2 linked regions of the Arabidopsis thaliana genome follow. The protein of the gene in region 1 purifies or fractionates together with the protein of each later gene. This does not show direct contact. Each region holds a gene or a part of one and is shown on either strand. Other genes may lie near its edges.

Region 1 (16,800 bases):
ACTCGCTTACTTGTCCTTGCTTCTGAATCTGAACTATTCTCCTTCCTTTTGAGTATAGGTTTTCGCGGCATAGCTTCGGATGATTCTTCTGCGTGTGGCTCTTTGCTTTCCGAAGGTTGACTTGCAGAAGTATTAAACTTGTTAGCCTCAATTTCATCTTCCTTCAGCCTAATTCTTGCAGCAACATAGTTAGCACGAGGATCCCGAATCCGCCCACAGCCTTCACCGTCATTCTCTTCCCCTAGTGCAACTTTATCATACTCATCTTCCTCTGCCTGTGTTAAGAAGCATAATTCATGGAAACAACACTCAGCATCAAAGAAAGTGACATCCTATTCATAATACGGTATGTGCTACATATAGTTATAGCAAGAAAAACTCAAATTCAAGAATCTTAAAGCTGGTTACATAGGTTGATGATTCACGTACAAAAACTCTATAAGTCACACAAACCAATATGATACTACATTAAAAATTCAATGCTCTTCTCATATGAATCTACCAAATCCAAGAGAAAAGACCAACACTGTTCCCTAATTTCAATTAGCTAAGCAATGAGAAACAATCGTTAAGAGACCAAAATTGATTTACCTCGTCATCGAGAGTGCGATCAAGGCCCATGGAGGCTCTGATACTCCACACACCATCAAAATCCTCGCCGCAATCAATATCTTTGAGATCATCCTCGGAAGGCTTCTGCTGTTTTAAGAGCTCGTCAAAGGATGAAGCACAAGGAATCTCGTCTCTATCGTACGAATCTCGCTTCCACTCCCGCTTCTCTACCTCTGTGTCGGAGAGAGTCCACACCGACCCCGATTGCTGCCGCGACGCCGGAGCAGAAGACGACGTGGAAAACTTGGAAGACGAAGGACGAGAGAAGGGTAGAGATCCGAAGATCTTCGCAACGCGAGACTGGAAATCTTCGTCGGCTGATCCAGACGATGCCATTGTGAAGCTATTAGAAATTGAAACACACACAAATCGATTGCTGTGAATAAACGAAGAACGAACAAAATAATAGACCGCCTTTCGTGTGATCCTATAACAAAACAAATTTTAAATGGGCATTTTATAATGGGCCTGGCTTAATGGAATTTCCTACTTCTTGGCCCAATATCGGCCTACTAGTCACTGTTACCTCTATACAGTTTTTAATTTTTTTTTGGTTGTGTGCTAAAGTGGATTTTAGTATCCGTAGGCCGTTTGAGGTCAATAAGGAAATGAAAGATGCGACAGTCTAAAAAGGAAAAGAGAGATCTAAGTTACATTAGATTGATAGCCATATGTCGGAAATCATTTGAGAGAGAAAACATACGATAAATGTTGTGAGAAAGATGAAAGAAAATTGATGTGAGAAAATCTGATTAGAAGACCATATTAAATGTTGGTTAATAGTAATACATAATGTTCATTATTATGTTTTTAATTGCAGATGTCTTAGTTTTACCAGTTGAACAAAGATCTTAACCTAGATTTAAGACGATTATCGTTATGATTAAACAATATTGAACTAGCTGGACAAGACTCAAGAGATCATACATTTCATTAAACAATAAGGATTTTGAAACCAAGAAAATGTATTTTAATAATCATATGCGACTGTAAAGTCTGCAAAAGAAAGTAAGATCATCGTGTCCATTTTTTCCAAATTTCTCCCACTTTTCTTTTTGCTTTAACAATTTTTTTCCAAAAGAAAGTAATCATAAGTGTTCAATTTTTTATATTTAAAGATATTTTCATATAAAATAAAATAAACATGTCTTAAAAGGAATCATTTATACCCCACTGGCCTCTCTGTCTCTCCGGAACAAAAGATAATGGAGAAGCAACCAGATAACGGGTCCCACTCTCCCCTCTCTATTAATACTCTCGAGAGAATCGCGTTTACTACACGCGCCTCCTAATTTCCAGCCTCTTTAATACTACACGGGCTTTAAAGGCGCGTGGATATAGTGGATTTTAGCCAGAGTCCTTGTTTTCTCAGATGACCACTGTTACAGAAAAAGCACAGTCAGTCCTCTCTTTAAAAAATTTACACTTGAAACGACGTCGTATCTTACCAACCTTCACGATCTCCGGCGGTAACTAAAACGGCATAGTTTCGCCGTCTTTTGTGGTTAAAATTTTCACAAAGACGGTGAAGTTTTTTTTCTTCCTTTCTTTGATTTGTCTGTCTCTTCTCTTCTCCCGAGACACTTCATCTAAAAAACACACCCCCACTGTTTTCTTGTTTTGTTCTCTCTCGATTTCGCGAGAAAAAAACACCAGCTCAAAATTACGCTTGGCTCGAGACTTTGAAGATCATCGGTTTCTGTTTCTGTTGGATATTTCGGGGAAGCTTTGGGAGGAGAGGATCTCACGTTTTTGTTCGTTTATGGCGTCTGTGTGAGACATAGTGGTGGTTCTAGCTTTTAGGTTTTTGGTGTGTGTGTTCGTGTTATGTTAATTGCTGTTTGTGTCGAAGAAGAGGAAGTAATAAATTAGCTCAAAATGCATTTCACTAAGCTTGATGACTCTCCCATGTTCCGCAAACAGGTTTGTTTCTACTACATATCTTTGGTTCCTGTCTATGTGTGCTTGTCTTGATGTGTCCAGTCTTTTAGTGTCGTAGGTTAAAATTGGGTCATATTAGGCGAGATTTGTTCTTCAAAAGTTGTCAACAGATACTAATTTTGGAGCCATTAGGATGTGTTGTGTCTGGAATTTTGAATGTCCACCGACATTTATATTCCAAAATGTGAGTGGAACTTCACTGGAAGGTTCGAATTAATGTGTCACTAAGAAATTGGTTTATCTGGACGGCCTATTCGCGCTTTAACTTGTTGCTCCATGAAATGTGAAATGACTTATGATCCAGTGCACTTGTTTGGGTCTCTGATTCGTGTGTTTAGGATACATTTGTGTCCACTTAGCTACTACTTTCATGCTCACTGGTTTAGTAGGACTTCTGCTATCTAACTCAACTTAAATGCTAAGGAAGTTCCTAGTGTAGCTCAAATTCTGTCCAACAACTGCTCTGTTTGCCTGAAGTTGATGATTCTTTTGCCCCTATATAGAGTGCCTGAATCACTCAATCTTTGGGGTTATCCATAGTTGCAGTTTCTTCCATAATTGGATTGTGTCTTTACTGTTTTCTTTGCGTTTATGTATTTTTCCTTCCGCAGCTGCGTTCTTACATTGATATCTTTTTCTTAAATAGTTACAAAGCATGGAGGAGAGCGCAGAAATATTGCGGGAAAGAAGTCTCAAGTTTTACAAAGGATGCCGGAAATACACGTATGCTAGTTCAAATTTTCACAGCTAATTAGGATTGTAGCTCTACATTTAGAGTTTTCTTCTGGCTGAAACATGTATCTTTTAACAGCGATAGATTATTCTTTCTTTTTACAGTGAAGGACTAGGCGAGGCATACGATGGGGACATTGCTTTCGCAAGTGCACTTGAAACATTTGGTGGAGGCCATAATGATCCAATAAGTGTGGCTTTTGGAGGTATGACCGATTATATGGAAACTCGCAGTAGCATATTGTCTGTTTATTCCCATAATCTTTGCAGTTTTCATCTGAGATTCTTTGGCACTTTCCATTTTAGAATTCATAATTTCGTTTTTAAGCACTAAATACTGATAGTGGCCTTAAATTATGAGGGAAGTTGTTGTTCCCGCTCTTTCTCTTCGCTTTCTCTTTGCTAGGGTTGTTAGATTCACTGGTTTTGGTGGAAATGTTAACAATTTGCTGTTAAAAGTGCTGACAAACTCTAACTTGCTGTGCCAGGACCGGTAATGACGAAATTTACAATTGCGTTGAGGGAAATTGGGACTTATAAGGAAGTTCTTCGGTCACAGGTATGCTAGTTTGCTATTTTGACACTCTCTGTTTCTCCCTATTCCCAGCCTTCTCTCTGATAACTCCTGTGGTATCAACGTAGGATAGCTTTGTTTTCCTTCAGCAAAAATGGCCTCTTTATAGTTTGCTTTACCTTAAGACATCATATAGATTTAGAGCAGATCAAGTCATTTCAATCCAGGTTTTGATTTTGATGAGTTCCATTGTCAGGTGGAACATATACTGAATGACAGATTACTTCAGTTTGCCAATATGGACTTGCATGAAGTTAAGGTACAAGCTGCTTCCTTTATTATTGGCTTGATATACATGTTTTGAGTTAACTTTGCATCATTGAGGTATTAGTATTGACTAGAATATCTATTAAACAATGGAGGACAAATATTCTGCATGTGTGAATAGAGAAAATATGAAGACCTGCCAAGAGGCATTTAATTTAATATGGACATTAGGTCTTGTTCTTCTGGTTTGACTTGCAGCACTAGAAATCTAAAAAAAAGAACTAATTATCACTCATGTGGTCAACCTTCCCCAAACAAAATATAATTGTGAATATTTTCTGAGGTCATTAATGTAGATAAGGTCTGATGATTGCGGAAAATATGGTTAAGTTTCTTGAGCCTGCCTTTACATTGTGGCTAGTCAGCTTGTCCAGATATATCTTTTTCCATTTTTATAGTAGGCTAGCATGACATGGTTATATTTGGATATGGAACCCTGAGAGATCATTTTTGCCACAGGAAGCTCGGAAGCGCTTTGACAAGGCTAGCCTTACCTACGATCAGGTATCCCTTTTGTCAAGGATTTTTGTTTTCCCCACTCCGCTGACTTGGTTTGCACTACAAAAGATATTTTGGAAAGATTAAAAGTTCTCATCCTGACTCTTTTCTTTACTAGATGTAAATCTGTATGAAAAGTTTCAACCAGACAAAATGGGTCGAGCTCAAATATTTTAGAATCATTCCTCGTTAATGGAGGAACGCTAGGGTTCCTCTTTTTCAAAGTTATGATATGTGTTGCAGTTTCCGTGCAGGCAGTGTATAAATTTGCAGAAACCTAGCTAGTTTTTTTGTTCATGCTACATTTGTAGCTTGGAAAATAACTGATAGAAATAGAGAGGCATATTGGGTCCACGGCTCCCACTTATCTGGACGATTAACTAATTAACTTCTTATTGTGCTTTAGGCCCGTGAGAAGTTTTTATCTTTGAGGAAAGGTACAAAAAGTGACGTTGCTGCTGCTTTAGAACAGGTATGGTGCATGATTTTAGTAAAGCTCGTTTCTGATTTTTGATAACCATGTATTTTTATTTCTATGTTGTAACTAACATATTTTGACACTGACAGGAACTTCATACTTCGAGGTCTATGTTTGAGCAAGCTCGGTTCAACCTTGTAATTTTCTATCGTTTGATCTTGAGTGTTCAAATCTACATACTTGCTGTCCATACGTAGTATTGTTGAAGTAATCATTTGGTTTCCCTAATTTATGCTCAGGTGACTGCTCTATCAAATGTTGAAGCTAAGAAAAGGTTTGAATTTTTGGAAGCAGTCAGTGGAACAATGGATGCACATCTTCGGTACTTCAAACAGGTAAGTTTGTTATGCTGCTTAGAATTATAAAATAGTCTGGAAAGGTTTGTGTCAAATCTAAACGTGGTTGCTTTCAGGGTTACGAATTACTGCATCAGATGGAACCATATATCAATCAGGTCGGTTTAATGTTATTTTCCTTTTCTTCAAGTGATAGATCCCTAAATATTTGGGGTTTATGTATAATTCTCTTCTACGACTATGTATGAATCTTCACATGTGTTGAAAACGCGGAGATAGTAGCATTTAGAAAACTACTTATACATCAACTCTTTTTTTGTAGGTCTTGACATATGCGCAACAATCCAGAGAAAGATCAAATTATGAACAAGCAGCACTTAATGAAAAGATGCAGGAGTACAAAAGACAGGTTGATCGAGAGAGCAGGTGGGGTTCAAATGGTTCTAATGGATCACCAAATGGAGATGGCATACAAGCAATCGGTAGAAGCTCTCACAAAATGATAGACGCCGTAATGCAATCTGCTGCAAGAGGAAAGGTTGATCAACGTCTTTAACATATGATTGATACATCTTCCAGAGAGTACTATTAACATTTCTTGGTGCTTTCAGGTGCAAACAATAAGGCAAGGTTATCTCTCTAAACGATCTTCAAACCTGAGAGGAGACTGGAAAAGAAGGTTTTTTGTTCTTGACAGCCGGGGAATGCTCTATTATTACCGAAAACAGTGTAGCAAACCATCTGTGAGTTTTGGTTTTATATTTATCTTTTATTTGAAAACAGCAGAATTATGCAAACGGTATGGTGTTCATAAAGTAAAAATCTATTTGACCCATTCTTTTCACACTCTGACTTAGATTATTTGATGTTTAGGGGTCTGGAAGCCAGCTTTCTGGACAGAGAAATAGCTCCGAGCTTGGGTCTGGACTGCTTAGTAGGTGGCTTTCTTCGAATAATCATGGACATGGTGGTGTCCATGATGAGAAGTCTGTAGCTCGTCATACAGTGAACTTACTCACCTCAACAATTAAAGTCGACGCTGATCAATCAGATCTGAGGTTTTGCTTTAGGATCATATCACCTACAAAAAACTACACGTTGCAGGTTTGATTCAGAGTGTTTGTTACTGCCTTAAAACTTTATTGTATACATGTTTGCCCAAGTTTAATAGTTTTCACTCAGTGTTTACTTATGTTTGTCAGTGCAGGCTGAGAGTGCACTCGATCAAATGGATTGGATAGAAAAGATCACTGGGGTTATTGCATCACTACTTAGTTCTCAGGTCCCTGAACAGGTAAGTATTATCATTATTCCTTTACCTGACCAGGCTCATATTAAATACCAATGCAACTTTGGTGATTGTCCATCGGCTACATTTCAGCGTCTTCCTGGTAGTCCCATGGGAAGTGGCCACCATCGATCTGCTAGTGAAAGTAGCTCATATGAAAGTTCTGAATATGATCATCCTACTACTGAAGAATTTGTATGTGAGAGGAGCTTTTTGGGGTACAATGAAAGGCCATCAAGAAGTTTTCAGCCGCAACGGTCCATTAGAAAGGGTGAGAAGCCCATTGATGCTCTTCGAAAGGTCTGTGGGAATGACAAATGTGCGGATTGTGGAGCTCCAGAACCAGACTGGGCTTCTTTAAATCTGGGGGTTCTTGTCTGTATCGAATGTTCTGGTGTTCACCGTAATCTTGGTGTGCATATATCTAAGGTAAAAAATCTCCAGAACTCTTAATTGCTTAGAAAATATATGTAGGCTCTATAACAACCAACTTATGGAAGGACGTAAAGAAGTCCATGAGAATTTTGAAGTGACACTAGGCTTATATTCAATAGCAATTCAGATTATAGAGCATGTGATAGAATTTGAACTTTGGATGGCTCGGCCTTCAATTTGACATAAGTTATACAGCAATCTGAAGTTGGCTGTTGCTACAGGTTAGGTCACTCACTCTCGACGTGAAAGTATGGGAGCCATCTGTTATAAGTTTGTTCCAAGCTCTTGGAAATACTTTCGCAAACACAGTTTGGGAGGAATTGCTTCATTCAAGGAGCGCCATCCATTTTGACCCCGGCTTAACAGTGTAAAACTCCATTTATGTTTGAAAGTGATGATAACTTTGATCACCTAGAAATCATAATGTTAAAATTACTCTGCCAAATATGTGCAGGTCTGATAAATCCAGGGTGATGGTCACTGGAAAACCCAGCTATGCTGATATGATATCTATCAAGGAGAAGTATATACAAGCTAAGGTTTTTAAGCTTCTACCCTTTATTTGATTCCTTATGTTGGAGATAAATGAAGCTATTTTTCTTCTCGAGGGCGTGCTTATTTCTTCCCAGTATGTTGTTCCTTCAAATATTCATTGAGCATGTAGAAAATATTTACTTTCGAGGCATTCTCTCGTTGCTCGGTCATAGGCAATGTTCAGGAAAGCTCATTCAAACTTTTTTTTTTTTTGTCATTCCACAGTATGCGGAGAAGTTATTTGTTCGGAGATCAAGAGACAGCGATTTCCCACAATCAGCTGCACAACAAATGTGGGACGCAGTGAGTGGCAATGATAAAAAAGCTGTTTACCGGCTCATTGTCAATGGTGATGCGGATGTGAATTATGTGTATGACCAAACTTCCAGTTCTTCGTTAACACTTTCCAGAGTAATATTAGTACCAGAAAGGCCAAAGCGTGAGGATGTTCTACTCAGATTAAGAAATGAGTTACTTGATAGAACAGGTAGTTCTTCAAATATATCTCCTGAGGGAAGCGGAGGTTCCTCTCTGCTTCACTGTGCTTGTGAGAAGGCAGACCTTGGGATGGTAGAGCTTTTGCTGCAGTATGGTGCAAATGTAAACGCCTCAGATTCAAGTGGTCAAACGCCGCTGCACTGTTGTCTTCTCAGAGGAAAAGTGACAATAGCAAGATTGCTTCTCACTAGGTGAGTTGGTCTTCTTAGATCCGCTTATCCAAAATGTCCCTAACATTTTCTCTGGCTAAATCCTTTGGAAATGTTAAAAGTTTTCACACAAGTTGTGTGTATGTTGCAGGGGAGCAGACCCGGAAGCTATGAACAGAGAAGGCAAAACCGCTCTTGATATTGCTGCAGAGTCAAATTTTACTGATCCAGAAGTTCTTGCTCTCCTTTCAGACACAAATGGATACAATCACAGACAGTGCTGATAAAGATGCATAGGCTTGCGGACATAAAAATTCCGGAGCTATGTTTCATCGTTGCTTTCACGGTCTGAAGAGCCAATCAACACTAAAGAAGGACCTCTAATGGTCTCTAGCAAGTTTAGCCCCCAATTAAGTATTGTATTGATGTTTTTGTGATGGATGGATATAGGCTGCATATTGGGAAATTATAGTGTATTGTATTGTGTCGTGTTGTGTGTATGTGGGACTATAGCATCCTGAGTTTGTCATGTCCAGACGTTGTAACTTGTAAGCAATTACTTATGGTTTTGTTCACTTCGTATTAACGTATTTAATTTGTGGCTCGATTTTGGTTTTGAATCTGTGTCAAAACTAAGATAATTTACGTGTTAAACCAGGCCCAAGTTTGAAAGTTAATTGTCAATTTTCAGACCAGAGTACATATTGGTCCACTTATTCCCATTACATTCATAGTTTTGAGTCTTTTGATAATAGTGTTACCATTTCAATTAGGCTAATCTTTTTTCAACCCAAGATATTTTTATAAAAAGGAATGTGGTTCAAATCGGAAAACAAGACCTAACTTTGAATAAAAGCACTACAGCATAAAGCTTTTACCTTTAACAAAAAAAATATAATAATTTTTTACAAGGAAAAAGAAGAGAAAGCAATTATTCTCAGACAAACAAAGGAACCACTTTTGTAGGTGTAGTAGTAATCTCACACGCTAAGACAAAAGTGCACAAATTCTCGAGACTCTCTTCTATCCAACGGTCCATATCTCACTAACCGCATCTAAATAACGGACAAGATCTTCTTTTGGCTTCAGCTCTCTTTAGTCTTTACCTTCCCTCAAGCTCGGTACTCGATGTCTTGCTTTCGGCCACTCATGAAAGCAACGAGAGCTTCCCCTTTCATCCGCCTACGTGGCTATGGGACCCAGTCTAACCACGACCACCTGACATCGTGGGCCCCACTGTAAGGCGGGAACCCCATTTTTTTTTGGCTGTAAGTAACGGATTCTCGGTCATGCTTTTTTGTGAGGATAGAGAGAGAGACTGAGAGAGAGAGAGAGTGTGTCACGGTCTCGCAGATACTGTGTATTGAAAAGAGAGTTCTAGAGAGAGAGTGTGTTATGTGTGTGTGTGTGTGTGTGTGTGTGTGTGTGTGTGTTTGGTTACTGGGATTAATTGAGCTGAAACAGTTTGGATAGTTTTGTTTGTTCTGTTTCATCTTTCAACCACAGATATAGTAATATTGTGAAAACCCCTCATTGAAGTTTGTTCTCTGCTCTCTCTTTTTGGGTTTAGCACTGAGTTTTGGGGTTTATTTCGAGACATACCCATACAAAGTTTGATACTTTTGTGTCCCCCCTTATCAAGAAAATTGTGGGGTTTTTTTTTTTTTTTAATAAGCTTCCTTTAAATTTTCAATTTTTATTTTGGAGGAAAAGAGTGAGAATTTCAGATAAGAATCTATGAGCCAATGATATTCTAATTCATCTTCTTCGTGAAGATTTTGAGTTGAATTCCATTTTCCTTTTTGTCTTGGTGGTTTCTCATTGGTTTTCTCGAGAATATTTGTGGTTTTGGGAGAAGAGGCTTCACTGTAGCATTGAAAAAGTCTTAAACTTTTCTGTGTCTTTTTATGTAAGCTTTGAACAGCTTCACCTTTCTGGGTTTTCTCAGATTGTGTCTAATCTTGAAAAACCTTTTATTCGTAGAAGCAGCAATGAAGCAAAGAAGAAGAAGAAATGGATGTAGTAGTAGCAACACTATCTCTCTACTCTTATTATTCTTCTTAGTCTTCTTTTCAAGAACAAGCACAAGTACAAGTTGTCGTAGAAGAACTGTTAAACACTTATCCACAACTTCAACATCATCTACACCACTTGAATCAAGAATCACTTCCAAGGTTATTGTGATTAGTATCGTCTCAGGGATTTTAACAGGGTTGGTTTCAGCTTTGGTGTTAGCTTTCTTGGTTCGTAGCATTGTCAAATTCATGAAACAGACGCCAATTCTCAAAGGTCCAGTGGTGTTTTCTCCTAAGATTACTCCTAAATCTCTCCACGCAGCTCTCAGTAATGGTATTCAGTTGCTTGGCTCTGACCTTAATGGTAAATACTATAAGATGGTTCTTGATAATGGTCTAGTGGTTGCAGTCAAGAGACTAGGCTCACTTGAAGGAGTTGGTTCACCAGAAAGTAGTAGTAGCAAGTCGGTTAAGAGAAGGTTGCAGAAGGAACTTGAGCTTCTTGCTGGGTTAAGGCATAGGAACCTTATGAGTTTACGAGCTTATGTTCGCGAATCTGATGAGTTCTCTCTGGTCTATGATTACATGCCTAATGGTAGCCTTGAGGATGTGATGAATAAAGTTAGAACGAAAGAGGTAGAGCTTGGATGGGAGATTAGGCTTAGAGTTGCAGTTGGAATTGTGAAAGGGCTTCAGTATCTTCATTTCAGTTGTGAGACCCAGATTCTTCATTATAACCTGAAACCTACAAATGTGATGTTGGATTCTGAGTTTGAGCCTCGGCTTGCTGATTGTGGATTGGCCAAGATCATGCCTAGTTCACACACAGCGGTATCTTGCTACTCTGCCCCTGAGTCCTCTCAAAGTAACAGGTGCTTCAAATATCAACACCATAGCCTTTGAGTTAACTCCTTTTTCATCTCTTTTACTAACACGGTAATGCAAATCCTTGTGACAGATACACAGACAAAAGCGACATATTCAGCTTTGGGATGATATTGGGTGTTCTTTTAACCGGAAGAGACCCGACCCACCCGTTCTGCGAAGAGTCTGCAAGCGGAGGTAGCTTAGGACAGTGGCTGAAACATTTACAACAGTCTGGGGAAGCACGAGAAGCATTAGATAAGACTATTCTTGGAGAGGAAGTGGAGGAAGACGAAATGTTAATGGCTTTAAGAATCACCATCATCTGCCTTTCTGACTTTCCGGCAGACCGGCCTTCAAGTGATGAGCTTGTCCACATGCTTACACAACTGCACAGCTTTTAGCCCAACGTACTTACATGTATCAAAACCTCTGTAAAACCAATCCAGACATCTGCAGTTGCATCAATATATTCTTTTTTCTTTATTCTTGCTAGTAACTGGTTTAACTTTGATCACGCAAATGGTACAAAAAATTGGTCTTACAACAGTCGAAAGGTAGCCAGCAGTTCCCGTTCCTAAACGTAGGACAACAAGCAGTGCTTGATGAACGTACATACTACACTCAGAAGGAATACAAAGAAAAACACAGATCAAGCAATAAGCTTGTCGAGTCAATTTTCTACTTGCAGTGTCCTGACAGGTGACCCGTTGCCAAGTCTGGGTTGTATCAATAACTCTGAGAGGTCACCGCTCTCGAAGAAGGATTTGTGAAGAGCCTGAACACAACCTTCAGCTTCAGCTTCGTTTACTATAAAGGAAATGTTTACCTGCGAGATATTGAAACAAGAAAGGAATATGTTAGGTGAGAACGGAAAGAGAGTTTTGTGATAAGCAATGTTACCTTGGATGCTCCTTGTGATATCATCTGGACATTGACACCTTTGGTATAAAGAACATGAAACGCCTGCCCAAAGTTAAAACAATTAAGTAAGAAGCGCACAAGAAATATATCTTTCTTTGTTAGAATCTTGAAGTAATCTTATTAGGAGACCAGATCTAACCCTCTCTAAAATCAGGGAGGAATGTTGAACATTCCCAATTAGAGAGATGATTGCTCTTCCTTTTAGAAGATTCACAACTGCAATTTTCTCCAGTTCTTCAACTACATGATCAAGCTCCTGTAACAAGAAAAAAAAAAAAAAAAAAAAAGGACTTTGAAAAGCACGCATAAATGAATTGGGAATCACGTATTGGGGATTCTACAAGAACTTACCTGTTGAATCAGTTCTCTGCTCCAAAGTTTTGAAGGATCCAGTGTCAGAGATATACTGACTTCACTAGTGGCAACAACATCTACGGAAATGCCAAGCTCCTCAAATATCGAGAATACCTAGTAAAAAGAGTGAGGCAAGCAGGCAGTGTTGATTATTAACAACACCAAAACGACCACAGGGTGGAGCAGCCCACAGTTCAGACCATGCCAATGAAAAAGTGTACATCCTTACCTTTGCAAGAAAGCCAACTTGACCAAGCATTCGGGTGCTTGCTATATCCAGCATGGTCACATTACGTTTCAGAACAATGCTCGTTAGAATACTCTGTCATGAAAAAGCAAAAAACAAAATTGTTTGCTATGAAGGTTCTCACATGAGATTCATAAAAGAACACAATTAGGAGACAATATACCTTGGTCATGTCTCTTGTTTTAGTGATGATAGTTCCAGGAGCCTTAGGGTTATAAGAATTTTTAACCCTAACAGGAATCTCACCCTCTCTTGCTGGTCTCATTGACTGTGGGTGCAAGACCTGCAGCAACAAGTGAATTTCCTTACTTAACCACTCGAGCATTTACAACATACAAATTTTCATGTAACAATACTAATAACTACACTTGAGTATTATTGCATACAAGTAGAGTGGGACCTGTGCACCAAAATAAGCTAGCTCGGCTGCTTCGTCAAATGTCAGATATGGTACTGGTGTAGCTCGCTTATATATAGTAGGGTCACATGTTAGAACACCATCGACATCTTTCCACACCTACTCAATGGAAAAACAAACATCCAAACTGAACAGAAGGTATGCAACGTTTGAAGAGAAAACATTACACTTTGAGATTGTAGAAGAACCTGAATCTCTTTCAAACCCAACGCTTTACCAATTGTGGTTGCCGTCAAATCACTGCCACCCCTACCCAAGGTAGTAACCGCACCAGTTTTCCAACCCTATTAGTGAATGAAATAATTAGGCAAGCCACAGAAACATGAATGAAAATCTTAATTATCTGTAGATTGTAAACTGTTTGAAATACCTTCCCAAGGAAACCTGTTACAATAGGAACAGCAGGATCATGCATCCAATCATCATATAATCTCTTGGCAACAGCTGGATAAGTTGCCTCCAGGATATCCCCATTTGTGAAATCATCCGTTGTAATGAAACCAATTTCAAATGCATCATACTGCAAAGTAATGGTCGATAAATCTACTTAGCTATGTTTGCGAGCCGGATCATTGTGCAATAAAGCTCACACCAAGGCCAGTTTAGCATGTAACAGAGAAAGTACACCAATATGTGTTCCTTGATAACCGAAACCAAACTAATAAAAAAGTTAAATGACCAATTCAGAGTATATAGAATTTGTTTATCATATTTTCTAAATCTAGATTGAACTTTTCTACCCTAATCTACCAAGATATCAATTTGACTAAATAAGCAACCAAATGTGATATATAATATAATTAAGAAAATTACAGTAGAACTAAAAATATGATGATGGACATACTTGGCGTGCCTTGACACCGATTGTATTAAGATAAGCAGCAAAAATCCTTGTAGACAAACACTCTCCAAAAGAGACTAAGTAATCTCTGGTTCGAAGTGTCAATTCCTTCATCATGGCAATGCCTTTCAGGAGTTGCTCCAGTTCCTCCAAATAGGCTGCAAAATGTATCCAAGATATAAATAGGCAATGCATGTACACTCTTGAATTATTACCAAACTCATCACAAATCAAAAATTTATGAGCCTTATCAGAATTAGAAAGAAATGAAGCTCCAAATGTTGGAAAGTCTACAAGTTAAAATATGCTCACTCAAAATAACAGAGGGATCAATGTTGAGCTCTTTCACCGTCCTGAAACAACAAAAAAACACATTCTTGATCAAAACCAACAGCAACAAAGGAAAAGATACTCAAAGGTACCAAATTAATCATAGTTACAAGAAACCAAAACCTGATATGCAATTCCTTTATAATGCTCAACTCCTCAATCTCAGATGCATTAGAAACACCACAACTAACCGCCTTCTCTCCCGCCTTCACTAGCAACAAAACCAATAATTCCAATCAAAAAAATTCAAAACTTTGAATAGAAAACAGAGAAAAGGGAGAGAATCTCAGCATTACAAGCAAGAGATTGTTGGTAGTTTTCCCCATAGCAGAGAGAACAATGACGGGACTTTCTTCCGGAAAAGTCAAAATCAAATCAGCAACTTCCTTCATTCTCTCAGCTGACGCCACCGAAGATCCACCAAACTTCATCACGCACGTGATACCCTTCTCATCTACCTCCGTTATCGCCTCTGTCTTCTTCTCTTCCAACACAGCTCGCACAATGTTTCTGCTGCCTGAACCTGAAACCTTTCTAATGGAGGAGCCATCTCCAATGGGTAATGATAATTTCTTCAGCGTAGGGAAATCGACACGATTTAGAGAAATCGGTAGCGTCGGCGAGTTTCGGTGGCGGGTAAGTGGCAATCTGGTGAAAGCTGCATTGCTATGACAACAACGAACCCTAGTAGCCGCCATTTGAGAGGAGGAAGAAGAAGAATATTATTGATAGGTTTTTAAAACAAGAAGAGGAGAGAAATCGTACGGCTCACTCTCATTTGATGAGAGACACCAAAGAAGGAAACTTTGAACCTTCCACTCTTCGGGTCTCTGTACTAAAACGCTGTCGTTTATTACCAACCATTGATTTTGATTTTGACCCGTTTTGGTTGTTGGCTTGTTGCAATAACTGAAGCCAGTAAAGTCTGAGTTTTTTGCTTCTCTGTCGTTTGTTCTCGAAAGGGAAAAGCTCTAAACTTTTGTAGAATTTCTCCATCAACTATGACGATTCTCACTGTACAGTCTTCGTTTAGCTCTTCTCGAGTTCCGGTTATAAAGAACGCGAATTTCGATCAAATTCCGTCGTGGGTTTCTCTGAAGTCGAGCACTTCTTCTCCGTCTGTTAAAATCTCGCATAAGCAAGGACAAGTAGAGAATCTTCATTTGGTTTCGTTGTCGAAGCATAGGAAGCTCAACGAAGCATTTGAGTTTTTGCAAGAAATGGATAAGGCTGGTGTCTCCGTTAGCTCGTATTCTTACCAATGTCTCTTTGAGGCTTGCAGAGAATTGAGGTCTTTATCTCATGGGAGACTCTTGCACGATCGCATGCGGATGGGTATCGAGAATCCTTCTGTGCTTCTTCAGAACTGTGTGCTTCAAATGTACTGTGAGTGTCGGAGCTTGGAAGATGCAGATAAGCTGTTCGATGAAATGTCTGAGTTAAATGCAGTTTCTCGTACAACGATGATATCTGCTTACGCCGAACAAGGAATTTTGGATAAAGCTGTTGGTTTGTTCTCGGGAATGCTAGCGTCAGGCGACAAGCCTCCTTCTTCCATGTATACGACACTCTTGAAATCTTTGGTAAACCCCAGGGCTTTAGACTTTGGTAGACAGATTCATGCTCATGTTATACGTGCTGGGTTATGTAGCAACACATCTATAGAGACCGGGATCGTGAACATGTACGTGAAATGTGGTTGGTTAGTGGGTGCTAAGCGAGTGTTCGATCAGATGGCAGTGAAGAAACCAGTGGCTTGTACGGGATTGATGGTAGGTTATACTCAAGCTGGAAGAGCAAGAGATGCTTTGAAACTATTTGTGGATTTGGTAACGGAAGGTGTTGAATGGGACAGTTTTGTGTTTTCAGTTGTTCTTAAAGCGTGTGCTTCTCTTGAAGAGCTTAATCTTGGCAAGCAAATTCATGCCTGTGTCGCTAAGCTTGGATTGGAATCTGAAGTCTCGGTTGGAACTCCACTTGTTGATTTTTACATCAAATGTTCCAGCTTCGAGTCTGCTTGTCGTGCATTTCAAGAAATCCGTGAGCCAAACGATGTTTCCTGGAGCGCAATCATCTCCGGATACTGTCAAATGAGTCAATTTGAGGAGGCTGTTAAAACCTTCAAGTCTTTGAGAAGCAAAAACGCATCGATTCTAAATTCATTCACATATACTAGCATATTCCAAGCATGCTCGGTACTTGCAGATTGCAACATTGGTGGCCAAGTCCATGCAGATGCTATAAAAAGAAGTCTGATTGGATCTCAGTATGGAGAAAGCGCTCTTATTACGATGTATTCAAAATGTGGATGCTTAGATGATGCAAATGAAGTCTTTGAGTCCATGGACAACCCCGATATTGTTGCATGGACTGCTTTTATATCAGGTCATGCTTACTATGGAAATGCCTCTGAAGCTTTGAGATTGTTTGAGAAAATGGTGAGTTGTGGTATGAAGCCAAACTCAGTTACATTTATTGCGGTTTTAACCGCGTGCAGCCATGCAG
Region 2 (16,771 bases), about 16 Mb from region 1:
AATAACAATTAATTTGAAGAATATGCTATAACACATAAGTTAGTTGAAGTTTGAAAAATTGATTGGGTAGTTGCTAATGTTTTCTTTTTGGAACAAAATTACAGGAGAAAAGGTTTGGGAACGATCGGTGTTCAAAGAGGTCAAGATAAAAGTATACCCTAGTTGTACACCTCCTGGAGGAGGCAGTGGACGACCATGTCCTCCTCCTAGATCCTAGAGAAATTCTATCATAGAATATTTGATCCAAAAGAAAGAATGATTCATCATATATATGTAATAATCTTTTCAACATTTAATAAACTTATTCCTAACTAAAAATATAATAGGAAAGTGGTTGGAAACGAAGAAATATAAATGGTTTTCTGTATCTATCATTGACGGCTCTAACGTCAAAACTATAATATGTGAAAATATAAGATGATATATATGATATATCAAACGCTCAACTTACTTAATTAGAAATTAGTCAAATTCCTTACGTAAGAGCTTTGGTGAAAATGTATCCAATTGGCCATGTGTAGAGAGACATGAAGTATTTTACCTACGGCCTACGGCTACGAGAATCTCATAACGATGGAAATAACAGTTGATTTAGTCTAGTGCAGTTTTAAACGTAGTCTCTTTTATGTCATCAAGTGTTTCCAAATGTAAAGTGCATATCGATTTTCCTAGGAGAATAGGAGTGGAATTTCAACGTATGATGTTGAAAATATTATCCGATCTTAGTTTCAAGACTTTTAATGAAACTTTACGTTATTATACATGTACTAAGTACTAAGGAGTCTACTTCACCTCATGTGTTTTAACAAATATCTCCAAATTAATTTGAAGGTTAAGCTTTTTCTAAGAGTAAGCAAAAAATTTAATGCATTCCATTGTGTGATTAAACATAAGATCCTCACCTAAGTACTAATTCCATAATCCTACAAAGCACAATACTAGAAAAAAGAAAGATACCGACTAACCAAGAGTTTTTATACAAACCCCAAAAAAGAAGAAGAATAAAACACCAAACACTACAAATTAAAACAGAACATTGAAATCAAAATGTTAAAACTTAAAAGCTACAAAATTGCGAAATATGTATGTACACTCATAAAGTTGGAAGTCCAAATATCTATCTAACTTGCATGTCGTTATTAAATATCCTCATCTCATCAATCTAACATCATCTCTAATCCAACGGCCCAATCCTCACCGTCCAAGGCAAAGTGCAGCATCAACATCAAGCCGCCACGCAAAGCCACCGTCACTCATCCTCCAAACATCACAGAACGAAGTAATCGAACTCACCTCCTTATCACGACACGTGTACTGCAATCTCATTCTACACGTAAAAGTCCGGTACGTTACCAAAGGCTTCTCCTTCATCACAAGCCACACACTCATCTTACTACACTGCTCATGATCTTTCCCAACCACCAACTCTCTGTAAGAACCGTTCGTCCAAATGACTCTCCCTAAACCGTCCGATATAAAACCAGGACACGTGTCTCTCTCAAGATTCATCTTCCTCTCCTCGTCCGTACACCCTAACTCATACTCTCCCTCCATCAATCTCTCCGTTACACACTCCACCGTCAACAACGACGACACAACCGTTTCCGTCATTAACTCTGTCTGATAACGTCTGTTATAACTAGCTCCGTCATTAAAACTCAGCCACAACGCCGCCGCACCTAACTCCGGCGCCGCCTTAGCCTTCAACGGCGAGTCTTTCTTCTCAGGAGTCTCTGGAAGAAGAGGCAACGTCACGATCTCTCTACCACCACCAGATCCGTTCTTCGTCTCATCGTTTCTCTGTCGTTTGCTGTTACCGTTACTATTAACGGATCCGGTACTGCTACTATTATTCTCCTTTGAATATTTTCTCTTACCTCTCCGTGATCTCGACGAAACGTTAGTTATCACCGATCCATTCTTCTCCGTCGGTGAAGCAGGAGATCCACCAGAATCAGGTCTCGGTGCAATCGGACGGTACCGGAGCATAATCCGATCAACCTTCGACATATCATTTCCACCACCACTACCACCGTACCTCGCAATACAACAACCTCCCCGGAAATTCATGTTTTGTCTAACAAACAAGTTTGTTTTGTTGGAGAAGAAGTGTTTGGTGTGTATATAAAGAAAAGAAAACTCTTACGTCGACACGTTTGGAGAAAACCTTGCCACGTGCGAGACCAAACGATGAACAGCGCAACGACGTGATTGGACGAAGGTTAGAGACGTGGCGTTTTGTTTGAATCCGACATTGAGACTCGAAGTACGAGGGAAGTGGTGACCAATAGGAGAGCGAGGAGTGGCTATTAGGTGCGGTGCGATTAAAGGTAGACACATAAGGCTGCGACTTTGGAGTTACGTGTAACAGAACGCGAGGGTTTTGGTTTTGAGATGAGAGGACACATGCCGTGATCTTGTTTGCTGTTTTCTACGTTCAAAAGTTTTGAGATTCTTTTTTTTAAGTTTGGTTTCTATTATTAGCATGTAGGATGGGGAGATTGTGACACGTGGGGAGTAACGCTGTGACACGAATCTCCTTTGGATGTGGGGTTGCATTTATTTCCAGAAGAAGATACTTTTTGCATGCATATAATTGGTGGAAAGTATAATATTAATAGTATAATACACACTTTATAAATATCTACTACGACTACGAAATCTTCCGGATTTCACTAAATTACAAAACAATAAACCGCATGAAATTTAGTATTAGTATCTAACTATTCGTTTGACAAAAAAAAGTACAGATATGATCAATTAAGTAGATATTAGTTGAAGATAAGAAAAAAATATAATCATGTAAAATGTCATGTGTCGTTTAATAGACATGTTATCTAATTAATTTTCAATCACTATTATTTCAGTACGATTCAATAGTTGTCCACATAACCTATTTATAATCCAACTCAATGTAATTCTAGAAGAAGATACTTTTAGCATGTATATAATTGGTGGAAAATATAAGTAGTATAAAATATGCATATCTACTATTTTTTCAATGTTCCGGATTTCGGTGAGTTATAACAAGACTGTAACCTCATAAAAGTTTATAGACCATGAATATAGAACACAGTGCAGAATGGAAATGTTATAACCGGCCGAAGTTAAATTTTCCATTATAATTATTTATTTTGTGTAATTATTGATTAAAATAAGAAAATGAGTAACTACTATTATGACGGTCCAAATTCTAACAGAGAAATTATGAATGCCATGTCAGATAAATGCACAAAATATGTTGTGGTTAAACAATTGCAATGTGGTCATAATTTTTATTTTTTATTCAATTTTTTTACAAAAAATTTGTTAAAAAATAAGAACATTTTACTGCTTATAAGAATGTTTTGATAATTATTTAACCAACCATTTTTCTTGTAAATACTTTATATTTTATTAAGATTCACTTTTATGGTTTGTAAAATATTTTTATAGTTTTGAAATAATAAACTTGTAAATTCATAAAATTATAGTTTAACTTTAGTTTTCTGATTCTTAAATATTGAACAATAACTAATAATATTACCAATTCATAGTTCCAGTGCCAACTCTTTAAGATAAATTAAATTGCATATATATATTGCATTATGGACTGAATGTGTGTATATGTAACTATGAAGTATATGAACATGACGATGCCAACTCTTTAAGATAATTTAAATTTGATTGTTCATTGGAATCCAAATTCTTGAAATTTGACAACTTTAATCTTAAATTCATCAAAATAAGATAATTAAACCCGTATTTTTTAAAACTACAAGAAATAATTAAAAAAGAAAGAAAGAAATGTTGATGCATATTTTATTGAACACTAGCACACTAATAAAACGCTCCTGTTTTTATTGTAGCTAGAACTTTGGTTGGATTATGATTTACACTAGATTTGCTTTAAAAAAAAAAGAAATTCAAGACATATTTTTTTATGGATTTAAAGTTTTTTTTTTTGCTAGTTCTCATTGGAGGAATTGGAACATTCTTAGGTAACATTCCTAAAACCAGACGTTGTGATGGTCACCATAAATTCATATTTGCGTTGTGTGCAACCGGTGGTTCTTTGGTACTAGGTCCTGAGGGTGGAACAAACCATCTCCTAACTAGTGGTTCTTTGGTACTAGGACCTGAAGGTGGAACGAACCATCTTGTACCCGGTGATTCTTTGGTACTAGGTCCTGAAGGGGGAACGAGCCATCTTGTGACGCGTATTGGATCAACTGATTTTTTAAGCAAACTTTCGGACTGTCGAAAATCTTCAGATTCATGTAAGAGGCTCTTCTTGTTGGCTTCAAGAACACCAACAAAGAGGAGAACAAACAATGCTATCACAGTAAAAAAATTTGATTTCGTCATTACAAGATACTTTTACAAATTGTTAGAACTATTGACTATGTTTAAGTTTTATAACATTGTCATAAATCTTATCTTATCATCTTAGAACTAAAGAATAAGATTTAATATTTTCTAATATGGAATGTGTTCTAAGTATGGTACACTGAAGATATTTTCCCGAAAATATTCTTTTTAATATATAGTAGATTTGACTGAAAAAATATAGGCAAAAACTATTATTTAAATAAATAATAAGAATACAATTCAACATTTTATACCCCAAACATTTTCAAAATTTATCTTACCATCCAAGTTCATTGAAGCTCAAATTGTAATGATGATATCTTTATTCAAATATATGAATTACTTGTATTTTATTCCTTTTTTTGTTATCCAAAATAAATCTATAAATCTGAAAAACTTGAATTTCACTAACTATGGTTTCATATCGCTTATCTCATTGTGATGATGAGATGATCTATATACAATTCCGTTGGAATCTGTTGGATTCCTGCTCTACCAATTCTTACAGTTGATCACCAATTCTTTATAAGCTACCATTTTGTTTTCAATGTTATGCGATTCTAATGTTTTCAATCTTCCACTATTTTACTACGATTTTGTTTTTCCTTTATTCACCTGACATTTCCAGTCGCAAACAATAAGCCTTAGTGAAACACACTGCACAAAACTGCAGCAAATGTTGCTCTCAAGACAAAAGACATTCCGGGGGAAACAAATAAAAAAACTCAGGAGAGTTATTTAAGATAAGCAAAAAAAGATACATCTTAAACTGATGCCATTTCGTTTTTCAGTTTCATGTAGACACAACCTTCTTCACCACTTTTGTAACCTCTTCCGGGGCCTTCTCTGCCGGTATGTTCACCAGATTCTCCTTCTTCGCATAATAGTCAATTACCTGCAACAACAACAACAAGAACAAATGTCAAATTCTCTGATAGTCCTCAAGTTCATGTACTATAAGGAAACATACCGGTTGCGTCTGCTTGTGGAATGCATCTAGCCTTGATCTAAGAACATCCGCATTGTCATCTTTACGTTGAATCAATGGCTCTCCAGTCAGCTAACAAACAACGAAGTTGATACAGAGATCAAATCACAAGAGAGAACTCGATTTACTAAGTCAAAATGATGAATCAGAATTTGATGGTTTTTCTTACATCATCGACTCCTGGAACTTTAGGAGGTGCGAATTTAGTATGATAGCTTCTTCCACTTGAAGGGTGAATCCACCTTCCAGTAATTCTTTCTTCGAGAACCGAATCATCGATCGCAAAATTAAGCACCTTATCTATCTGAGCTCCCCTTCTATTAAGCATCTCATCAAGCTACAAGATTTATAAACAAAAAAAGTCAGAACATTTACAAGAGCGAGCAGATACACAAACAACTAACCACAGAAAAGAACCAGAAACCTTCTCTGCTTGAGTCACAGTCCGCGGGAACCCATCAAGAATGAAACCTTTCTGACATTTGGGTCTGTTCATTGCTTCATCCATGATACCAACAACCAAGTCATCAGAAACAAGCTCTCCCTTATCCATTGCTTCCTTTGCCTTCACACCAAGAGGAGTCTTAGCAGCAACAGCAGCTCTAAGCATGTCACCAGTAGACAAATGACACAAACAAAACTCATCCTTTATGACCGGAGACTGTGTACCTTTCCCTGAACCAGGTGGACCTGCAAATTCCAAATCATACATGAACCAAAACTCAATTCTTCCTTTCTATTGAACCAAAAAACACAAATTCACAATCCCTTCGCTATGATCATCAGATAAAGCATTAACGATAACAGCAAAATGCAATTTTTACACACTAAAACAGATAAAAATCGGAACTTTCGCTACACAATTTTCACAGAGATCAAACCTAAAGTACCGATTGAGTGAAAGATTCAGAGGTAACGAAAGAGATGATTGTACCGATGAAAACGAGACGTTTGTCAGGTTTAGAGGCACATTTCATACGGCGAAGAAGCTCAGACATGAGATCAACAGTCTGAATATCTTCCATATCAACAGAAGCCGCACTGCTCGTTGCCATGTTCGTCGTCGTCGTCTCTTACAAGAGAATTAGATTTGGTCCGGTGGAGTTGTGTTCTCTTTTTGAAGTGCGTGTATTGGATTCGATGCTTCCAATGTTTTCTTTCACCGTTTTACGATTTTACCCTTAACTGTGCCAACAACTACAAAGGCCTGCCCTTCGAACAACAACAACCTGCCTGGGGTTGGTGACACACCCAACTCTGAAAACGAGTCTTTCTTCTTACACATCTAATATCGCACATTTTTCATAATTACATAAAATCAAATATCATATAATACTTCCAACAAACCATTATGTTTTAGGTCAAGTGAACCAAAAAAAGCGGACTAGAAAACATAGAATAAGTAGAGTCTAACACATTTTTTCGGTTTTAAGGCACGATGGACCGGTCATTTGTCCAATTAACACTAGTGTTAAGAAACTTAATTTGATATTAAGTACTGAGGTTGAAGATTTTGCTAGTTTATGGTAGACTTATGAATATCAGTATACCACTAGACCACATTCACTTTTCGTCAATAAGACAATTAAACTCTTGAAAACCCACATTTTTCTTTTTTTTTTTTGAAAGCCAAACTCCATCAATGTTTGGTTATTAAAGATATGAATGAATACTACATCATTAGTTTCTTTCTTGATAATTTTTGTATATTTATTTATTAATAAGTTTTTGTATTTTTCTAAATTCTTAACATTAATAAAAGAGTTTTCCAAAAAATGCAAAATAATACTATAAAATTCAAAATAGTACATAATATAAGCTTTTTTTTTTCCAACTTTACATATATTGTAAACGTTTTTACGATCACATACATCTGCTTTTTGAAAATTCTAAAAATATAAATAAACTCTTTACCTCAAAAGTTTCAATTTGCTATATACATTTTTTTAAAATCAAATTTAACAATAAAAAATAAAATTAGATTACATATTATTTTAGAATTAAATTAACATAGGCCCACTTCTTATGTTGGGAAAAGGGAACAACAAATATAACAATTTAGCAACAAAGAAGTAGAAAAAAGAGGTGATGTCATAATAAACGGTAAAATAATAGGAACGATGAGCGAGCGGATCTAGCTTTCGTCAAAATCATCATCACTGAGTACATCTGCCACGTCAGCTTGATTGGGATCTATTTGGTCGCCCGTACACAAAATCTCGGCTCACTCACTCACACTACTCAAGTCAACGTTTCTAAGATTCTCCGGCGGAGCGATTATGTCAGGTAAAACTATCGCCGATCTCTTCTTCTTCTTCTGATTCGAATCTCTCGTCCCCATTCCCTGATTTTTTTGATTTACATTTGATAGGATCTTCTTCACCGAGCTTGTGGCTGGCACCGAATCCGAGCAAGAGATGGGGAGAGCTCTTCTTCCTCTTCTACACTCCTTTTTGGCTCACTCTCTGTTTAGGCATCGTTGTTCCTTACAAGCTTTACGAGGTCTATGCGATCATCAAATGAGCATTGTTTTTAAGTGTCTGATGTATTTAGGAGACGATGAGACAGAGTTGAAGTAGCTATTCACTTTTTTTTATCTGCTAAATTAGATCAACAAAGTTTATGAAATGATGTCTCATTGTTTACCATGTCAGTGTTTTAGAGATCTGAAAATTTTACTGTTGTATGAAGTTGTCTTTTAAGTGGTATTGAAGAAGTACTAATAAGTGTTAGTTACTTTGCAAACTAGCAGACATTCACGGAGTTGGAGTATCTGCTTCTAGCTTTGGTTTCAGCTGTTCCTGCTTTCGTTATACCCATGTTACTCGTTGGAAAGGTTACTTTTTGACAACTTTTGCTTTCACTGTGAGCTAACGTGTTCGTGGTGCTATACTTGTTTGTCTACTAGCTACTTGCTTCCAATTGAATGCAAATCTCTATTGTTTTCCTTACCATATGGACTCAGAATATATGCATTATTCTTTCAGGCCGACAGAAGTTTATGTTGGAAGGACCGCTATTGGGTTAAGGCAAGCTTTTTTTCTATGTGCATGACATTTTGGCTTGCCAGTTCTAGTTTCAAACTATTTTTAGAACTTGTTTTAACTTCCTTGAGTACTGGTGAGAGTTCTCAAGATCTCATCCATAGTTGTACTGATTGGAACATGTTTTTACCACAGGCAAATCTCTGGATAATTGTTTTCAGCTATGTCGGAAACTACTTTTGGACTCACTATTTCTTTAAAGTTCTTGGAGCGTCCTATACTTTTCCATCATGGAAAATGAATAATGTAAGCACAGCATTATCTCGGCAGATTTGTTCTATTGAGTAGTTTTCTTGTTTCCATGAGCTTATGGCAGGGGTTTTGTGTTGAACAGGTGCCTCACACAACATTCTTCCTAACACATGTTTGCTTCCTCTTTTACCACGTTGCATCGAACATTACTCTTCGGAGGCTACGCCATTCCACTGCTGATTTACCAGATTCTCTGAAATGGTGTTTTGAGGCTGCATGGATACTTGCGCTTTCTTATTTCATTGCATACTTGGAGACTATTGCTATCGCAAATGTACGTTGTGATGTCTACATTTCTTTGATAATTTCCTATAAAAAGAGCTCTCTACTTGGTGTTTTATCATATATCACAAATTCCTCTTATAGTCTGCTTAAAGACTACGTTTATCTACTTAATCATTCTAGAATCTTGTTTAGAAACTAGTCACTTGACAATAACCGCTCATATGTTCTGTTTTTGTTTTCAAACTTGTGCAGTTTCCTTACTATGAGTTTGTGGACCGAAGTGCCATGTACAGAGTTGGATGTCTTTTCTATGCCATTTACTTCATTGTGAGCTTCCCAATGTTCTTCAGGTAAAGAAAGCATAGTTTTCTATCATCTCATAGAAGCAGTGAATCTTTTCACCTTCATGACTGTTGCATATCAAAACTGAGACAAGTGATAGTTGTTAGATACACCGGATTAATTGATTGAATTTTCTTGAGAGTCTTAAAATATAGGAATTAAAGACTTAAATGGAGAACCAGGTCTTTCTCAAGTGTCTTGAGGAGTTCTTTGAACAGTCTCTGTGATATGCTTCCGTCTCACCTTCTTATTGCTATTTGATTACCTCGAGTTGTTGTCTATCTGTTTTCATATGTTTTATTCATTGTTTGCAGGATGGATGAGAAATCAACTGATGAATGGGATTTATCTCGAGTGGCTGTTGATGCTTTGGGTGCTGCTATGTTGGTAACAATCATTCTTGATCTATGGCGTCTCTTCTTGGGACCTATAGTTCCCTTACCGGAGGGACAAAACTGCCTTCAGTCTGGATTACCATGGTTCTCCAATTGAAGATTGAAAGATCGGTTACTTCCACCAATTCAGGGAATTGACATGGGACTGAGAGAGAAACCTGCAAAGGAATTTCCATTAACACTTTACGGAATTGGGAAGCAGTTAATGCAGGGCATGTTTCTAAGGCTTTTCTTCTCCAACTGCTGATTTGTTTGTTAGTTGTTTTTGGTTTTCAGTTTCTCTTGATGAACTTTCCCAATGTAACCTTTCAAGTTATCCTTTATAGAACAGAATGGAACTTCGTTTTTTGTTGTGGACTCGATATATTGGTTCGTCCTCTTAAGTTCATTAAAACAAGAAAGACCATAACACCATTGAAAGAACCAAAACTTGATATTAAATGGTAAAGTCTCATCACATGAAGTAGCTAAGGGCTTACTTTACTTCTGCAACCTCCCCCGTAGCATTTGTTCCATTGTTGTAGTCACTAACTTATATGGGACGACTGTTGCAGTGCATAACTGCAACCACAATCAGAACACTAATCTCTGGTCCAAGATCAACATTACCTGGTCCTGTGACCATCCATGATTCCTTGAACAAGTACACGTTCTCAGTTCTTTGTCCGTAGACCGGTTAGTAGTGGGAGATAGAACAAGACTGCTCTCCGTTTTTGTAATCTTTGCATCTGAGAATATTAAGGAGATACGACTACTAACCGTAAGAGTTTACTTGTTCATATATGTCATAGTTTTAATGTGGTTTGTAATGAGTCTTTGGAGTGTAAGAGTTTAAAAATGATTTAATATAAGATCTAAGTCTCATTCACATAAGATAACCCTGTTTCAAGATACAACAACAATTCTATTATAGGAGCATCCTTCAACTTTTAAATATAAAAAACATAAAACACTGAATCAGAATCATACTGATACTAACTCAGGTTTATTGTAGTTTCTTGAATAAAATCTGGAAAGAATAACAAAACATTACTGCCACAAGATCAGAAAATGAAACAACCCAAAAATATTTCAAGAGTGTTAAGTTGCCATTATTGTATCATCAAAATAGTACTGCCACTAATGCTTTATACCATCAATTAATGCATGACTGACCTCGTTTCTTCTAACCCAAGTATATGCTATTCACAGAACAAGAAAAATACTTCCCTGAATCCAGACTAAATCACACTAACTCATATATCAACACGAAGGAGAAGAGTATGGACCAAGAAAATTGAGAAATCCAAACTCCGATTAAGCCATTAAGGCAAAAAACCATCCATGCAAAGAGACATATAAATTCATAGGGAGAGAGACAAAAACACGTAGCAATAAAAAAGCAAATGAGTACAAAACAAAACAAAACAAAATAGAAGATTGTGCAATGTAACGCAAGGACTCATGAAGATCATCATACCTTTGCTTTGAGAATCAGGATGGACAACTTCAGACTTGTGTAACCCCTTCTTTTTCGTCAAGATTAATTACTTCTTTTCGAATTCAACGTGAATGTAAAAATCTCTAGAGATCAAATTTTAAAACATCAAGCAGTCTAAACATTAAACAACATCAGCTTAACACAGTTTAAACGCATTAACCACTTTATAAAATGTTGAAACTATTTTTGTAACCCACAATATTATAAAACGCATGTTTCTTGTTTTCTAAAGAAAATCTAAATTTTGAATTGATCAATTTTTTGTCCAAATCTTCTATGATTTCCTTAGGGAGAGCCACAACCTGATTCCAAGCCCAAGAAGAAGGATGCTCCACGTTTTAAAGTTAATCTTGGAAGCGAGCGACAATGCTTGGGATGGAATGTTAAAGGTAGCAGATGCATACTCTGTTATCATAGTCTATGTCAAAGTATGTGGATATGAATAGTTTCCATGGTCGTACTTGTCCAAGAAACTTGGATTTGTATTTTGTAGCTACTCGAACACAAAACTTGAAACCAAGAACATTTTTTTTGGTGCCAATAAAATAACACACTGGTCTAAGTGACATGTATGTTTTTATGAGATTTGCTCTCCAATGTGGCTCAACCTGTGTTTTCTTTGGGTATATACATACTGGATTTTTGGCCGAAGTCTTGGAAACAGATTATATCTGTGATTTGGAAAATGCGGAATCACCCACTATTATAAACTGAAATTTTCTTAACTTATCATTTCTATGCAACAAACACACTTTTACTATCAAATCTAAGTACAGAGATACGTTACAACAAGAAAGTAATATCATCCAGCTCCATATATATAGCAAAGACCATTTGATTCAAGAGCATAATCATTATATAAAACCCATGGTCATAACATGATAAGTATTAAGACATGTACATAAGAATTTTGACAGTGTATAAAAAGGGTGTAAGCCCGACTTTCACATATATAACTTAAACCCCTGACTTATATGTTACCTGGCCACTATCATCTTTCAAACAGACAAGATTGTCCTTCAAGCAAGAGAGTCCTCGTCAATCGTCATCATCTTCTAGCAAGAGCCTTAACTTTTCCTTCTCGGGTGGTGAATAACCAATTGATTTCCTTCAAATAGGTCTGGTAAGTAACTCTCCAGGTCATCTGGTGTGTACTTTATGTACTTTCCAGCATGCCTACCACCTTCTAGTTGACTCCTATTCCTTCCGAAGAAAGCCCGGTAAGCCGGGATTACTTTCTCTGATATAGATATTCTCAGTTCTTCACGAAGTTGAGGATCCGGGACCTTCCAAGCCGTTTGCAGCCTGTATAACTCTTCAAAGCTGGCATTAAAACCTCTGAATCTCTCTTTTAACGCCATCTTGGAAGAATTGTTGCTTCTTTGTCCATAACTCGGACTACCACTTGAACTTCCACCCATACTTTCGTCCCTCAAAGCAGATAGCACCCTGCTCCAGGAAGCCCTGAGGTAACCGGTAGCATATTGACGTATCTGCCCTCTTCGTTTTCTAACCCAATCATCACCCAAGAGTTTACCAAGCTCAGAATCCTTCACCTTCTGAACTATGTAGTAAATGTTGTTCATCATGAACACATGTTGCAGCCCACCATCTTCATACAACTTTGATTTATCTTCAAGATTTGATTCCAACGACGTAATCAACCCCAATATTCTTTTCGCAAGAGGAGACATCTCTTCTGTACTATCATCACCAGATACGCCACTTGACTCATTACTCTCCAGAAGCGAATTTAAGGTCACCGCATAATCCACAATCAATTTCATGTAATTCATCACATAACGTATCATTGGATGAACCTCACCATTTGTCGTCGGTCTCTTTGATGTCTCATTCCGAACATTATTCTCAAACTCAACAAAAGTCCCCCTCGCAGCATCACCCAGTGCTTCCAACACCCCCTTGGTCTCATTACACACAAAACAGTCAGTGACCATCACCTCTAAAGTCTGCAACACATTAGCCAACGCATCATACATGTCCAGAATCCTAAACAACTTCTCTGATGATCTTCTACCAATCGCCACAGCCTCTCCGAAATTCAACAACTGCATCACACAGCTTTTAGTTGTCTCGTTAAAGCAAACCTCTTTACTCGACTCCGAACTGCTAAAGATCTCATCACATATCTTTTTCTCACCAACAAGAAGAACCCTAACAGTAATCTTCACAGCTTGAATCCACTTCTTCATCTTCTCATCCATAGACTTCCAATCAATCTTCTGAACTTCTTCTATACTCAGCTTCTCAACACCAAGAATCATCAAACAATCATCCAAAGCATCACGCCTAACCGAACTATAAACCTGAACACACTCCTTCTCATAACCAGCGCGAATCATCCGCTCTGCAATCTCCTTCAAATCTTCAACAGCAGTTGGATTAATCAAATCAACCCAAAGATCACACCCTATACTCCCTCCTCTCTCATGAAACAACCTCCTCCTACTCCCACTACCATCTCCATCAGCAACCAAACCAAAATTCTCAAAATCCTCAACAACATCACCATCAGCAAAGGACAACGAAACACGCCGCATCGAGCCATAGAGTCGCTCAGCGTCTAAAGGAACAGTGTTACGAATCAAAATCCGTCTAAATTCATCTTCAAGCTGAGACATAGCCATCTGCAAAGCACTATCAGCTCTATCCACCATATCAGGCTTATTCTCAGACGAAAGATCCTCAAGCAAAGAGATAATCTCATCAACAGCTGAAAGAAACTCGGTAGCTTCCTCCGGAGATTCATCAAACGAAAGAGAAAACGAAGAGGAACGATAGTTACCAGAAGACGAAGACGAGTGACGAGAAGAATCATTACCACCATCCCACCGATGAATAACCGATTCTGCAGCCTCTAAACGCGCCACAAGAGCGTCGTTTTGATTCTCTTCCTGGTTCGTCATCGCGGTTTTGATATTTGATAAACGGTTATCGAAGCTTGAGAAGATAAGTAACATATCTTCACGAACCTCTTTTGGTGTGTTGAGGCTTTTCATGATCTGTTGCGCCGTAGCGAGAACACGGTCTTCAGCTCCCCCACCACCACCTCCGGCTTCGGCGTTGATACTCGCCGCCGTGGTTGTTGTTGCGGCCATCTATGGAGAAATTCGAAAAGGGAAAAATCAAAATAGAGAGGTAGGTGAATCAGAAAGATGAAGACATGGATCGTGTTGTGAGATTTAGAGATCAAAACTTGAGAGAGATTGAATTGAAGAAGAAGAGTATAATTTTTTTCTAGGGTTTGAGTGGAACAAAGACAGCGAAATGGATTGTTTTTGGTCTTTCCGAAAAAAAGAAACAAAGTCAATACGTTTTCGTTGACCTAAATGTTTTGGTACCGGTTATTTTCCGGTTTAATTCTCTTCTACGAATCACAGATAGACAGAAAAGTACGGTAATGTTTTTGGTTACTTTCGGTTTAGTCTTTTTTTTTTCAATTGCTGCAAGTTTTGGATAGAGTTTTTAGACTGTTTCAAATTTAGTTCAAGGAGTTTTATTTAGACTGTTTCAAAATGGTTAGATTTTGTGATTTTTTAATTGTTCATTCAGTATGGGTTTAGCTTTAGAATGTTTCAAATTGTATTCCGATCCTAATATAGATTCAGAAAAACGGACCGGACCAATGTGATTGATTTGATAGCAGCATTATTGCGGTGGAGTACTCTTCCGGCGTATTGACGCTGTCGTCCGCCTACCGTATCCAACGGTTGATAATTATAGTTGACAATAACAGATTTTCTAATCTCTCAAATCAATTTTTTTCTGCTAAACGACAGATATCTGTGTTCACACTTCACACCATCAACATTCATCTACCTGTTGTTTATTCAATATAGCCAACACAATTGATTTTTTTTTATAATGGATATGTTATTATTTGTAAATTTAACATGATGATTGTACATAAAAAGGTTAGTGTTACCAAACTCTAACTCTATTATAGTAAAGGGAAATTTGACTCTATAACCAACAAAAAAACTATAATTAAGAAACTAGCACCTCACAAAAAAAACCTTGATATTCTTTATATTTTATGTATTAATTCCAATGTTGTCCTTTTTTTTTAAAGATATTATTGAATAAAGGTTTTTAATAGATTTATGAAATTAAGTGTTATTCAATTATGTCTTTATAAAACTACTTTAAAAAATCTGCTTTTATTGGATTAATGTTTATTTGATATATTCTAAAATAAATTAAAAATAAGTGTTATTCAATATTTATTTGATTTGTTTCATTTAGGATTTGAATGTACTTTTATTCATAAAACATGAAAAAAATAATCCAAACATTTTATCAAGTATTTCAAAATCCACGTAAAACATTAAACATTAAAATCAAAACCCACATATTATCAAGCCAATTCAAGTCTATTAAAAACCTCAATCTAATAACAACCTCTTAATCTCATTTTCCCCATCAACTTAATCTTCACTTTCATATTATCACTTTGCCTCCTTTTTTTTTTGCCAAGTTGTCATAAAAAAATGGGTGCAAAATTCCCTTTCTATACCGTCATTATCACCGTTAGTGCTACCATTACAATCGATGTCATCGTTATCGTCACCACTACTACCATCGCTATTGTCAACATCACCGCTACGTTTTATCTCGGTTGCTTGAGTTGCCAATGTTGTATCTTAGAGTATAGTTTTTTTTGGAATCAGATCAGTTTAACTCCATCATTTGGATCACTTAGAATATAACGTTCTTTATTCGTCGTATGTTTAGTTTAGTATTATGTGTTCTCTATTACTGCTACTATAGTATATAGTAAGACACTACAATGTTCTATACTATTTTAAAAGACATGCTTTGGGTTTGAATTTACAGTACTGATTTTAAATATAATTTATAAAAAATAATATATTACAATATTTATTCTTATGTGATCCTATATAGTATAAGATCATATAGTATAACATATATATTTTTTTGTTACAAACACTTAACCACGTAAATGTTTATATCCATTTGAAAAATTCAATCACTACATCAATTCACGTTTCTCACTCATTTACGCGTACGTCCACAATTCCAAGTGCAGCTACGAGTGTGTCATTCTCCTTTCACACGTGCGTTTGCATCCTTTACAAGTTGGAAAAGAGTTTTTCGTCTTTCTATCATCTATATGTGTTACTTTCTTCATTTACCTTATTATGATGCTATATATTTAATAACTTTAGCTAGAATGGTTATTCACCTAATTCACCCTATATCAAATTTACACCGTAATACACAACACAATTCTGCACTTTTTTTTTGGTGTTAAAAGCAGTGAATGATAAAAAAACTTTTACCTTTATTGATAGCAATGCTAAAAGAATCATACAAACCCGTTACATGATCACACTATTTTCCGTGTGTTATACATATATATAACTTTAGCATAAAGAAACAAGAACCCATAACAATAAAAGAACATGGAATCTACTTCTACTTGTGATGATTCACCAATAACCTCCACAAGAACACTTCCCTTCTTTAAAATGATGGAACCGGCTCGCGTCTCTCACTACCATCTCTCGTCCTGTAACCAAAGATATGAACTCAACCACCTTGTGGCAATTTTTGCATATCCTATGGTTCTGAGTAATCTGCAATGGATTCCATTCCGGCGTATTCACCAATCCGTAAGCTATGGCTAGTTTCTCGCTGTGATATCGCCCTA

Evidence for each region.
Region 2: the proteins of CRN (region 1) and CPI1 purify together in Arabidopsis thaliana (affinity purification with western blotting, with the first as the bait; one study listed by BioGRID). This does not show direct contact.

What each region holds. Positions count from the first base shown.
Region 1 is NC_003076.8:4,247,709-4,264,508, reverse strand, and holds CRN (Protein kinase superfamily protein), read left to right. Parts: upstream 1-9,268; 5' UTR 9,269-10,187; coding exon of another isoform or gene 10,188-10,257; 5' UTR 10,258-10,272; coding exon of another isoform or gene 10,273-10,293; coding exon 10,294-11,189; intron 11,190-11,244; exon of another isoform or gene 11,245-11,275; coding exon 11,276-11,585; 3' UTR 11,586-11,667; downstream 11,668-16,800. Other genes in the region: AT5G13310 (uncharacterized protein), read right to left, coding at 1-275, 592-948; SFC (ARF GTPase-activating protein), read left to right, coding at 2,491-2,535, 3,200-3,276, 3,391-3,491, 3,774-3,844, 4,056-4,118, 4,586-4,630, 5,031-5,096, 5,192-5,239 and 11 more; AT5G13295 (uncharacterized protein), read right to left, coding at 10,188-10,257, 10,273-10,556; AK-LYS1 (aspartate kinase 1), read right to left, coding at 11,855-12,010, 12,085-12,147, 12,245-12,361, 12,457-12,573, 12,689-12,781, 12,870-12,989, 13,107-13,223, 13,313-13,408 and 5 more; RARE1 (Pentatricopeptide repeat (PPR) superfamily protein), read left to right, coding at 15,297-16,800. UniProt on the Arabidopsis thaliana protein: Involved in the perception of CLV3 and CLV3-like (CLE) peptides, that act as extracellular signals regulating meristem maintenance.
Region 2 is NC_003076.8:20,504,239-20,521,009, forward strand, and holds CPI1 (cyclopropyl isomerase), read left to right. Parts: upstream 1-7,428; 5' UTR 7,429-7,617; coding exon 7,618-7,624; intron 7,625-7,709; coding exon 7,710-7,840; exon of another isoform or gene 7,841-8,090; coding exon 8,091-8,174; intron 8,175-8,325; coding exon 8,326-8,367; intron 8,368-8,517; coding exon 8,518-8,628; intron 8,629-8,716; coding exon 8,717-8,908; intron 8,909-9,111; coding exon 9,112-9,209; intron 9,210-9,515; coding exon 9,516-9,588; coding exon of another isoform or gene 9,589-9,693; exon of another isoform or gene 9,694-9,726; coding exon 9,727-9,843; 3' UTR 9,844-10,011; downstream 10,012-16,771. Other genes in the region: AT5G50360 (von willebrand factor A domain protein), read right to left, coding at 1,195-2,070; AT5G50361 (uncharacterized protein), read right to left, coding at 2,143-2,340; AT5G50365 (uncharacterized protein), read left to right, coding at 3,923-4,324, 4,533-4,538; AT5G50370 (Adenylate kinase family protein), read right to left, coding at 5,144-5,245, 5,321-5,410, 5,508-5,675, 5,763-6,028, 6,273-6,393; EXO70F1 (exocyst subunit exo70 family protein F1), read right to left, coding at 12,144-14,195; EMB3141 (Pentatricopeptide repeat (PPR-like) superfamily protein), read right to left, coding at 16,551-16,771. UniProt on the Arabidopsis thaliana protein: Converts pentacyclic cyclopropyl sterols to tetracyclic sterols.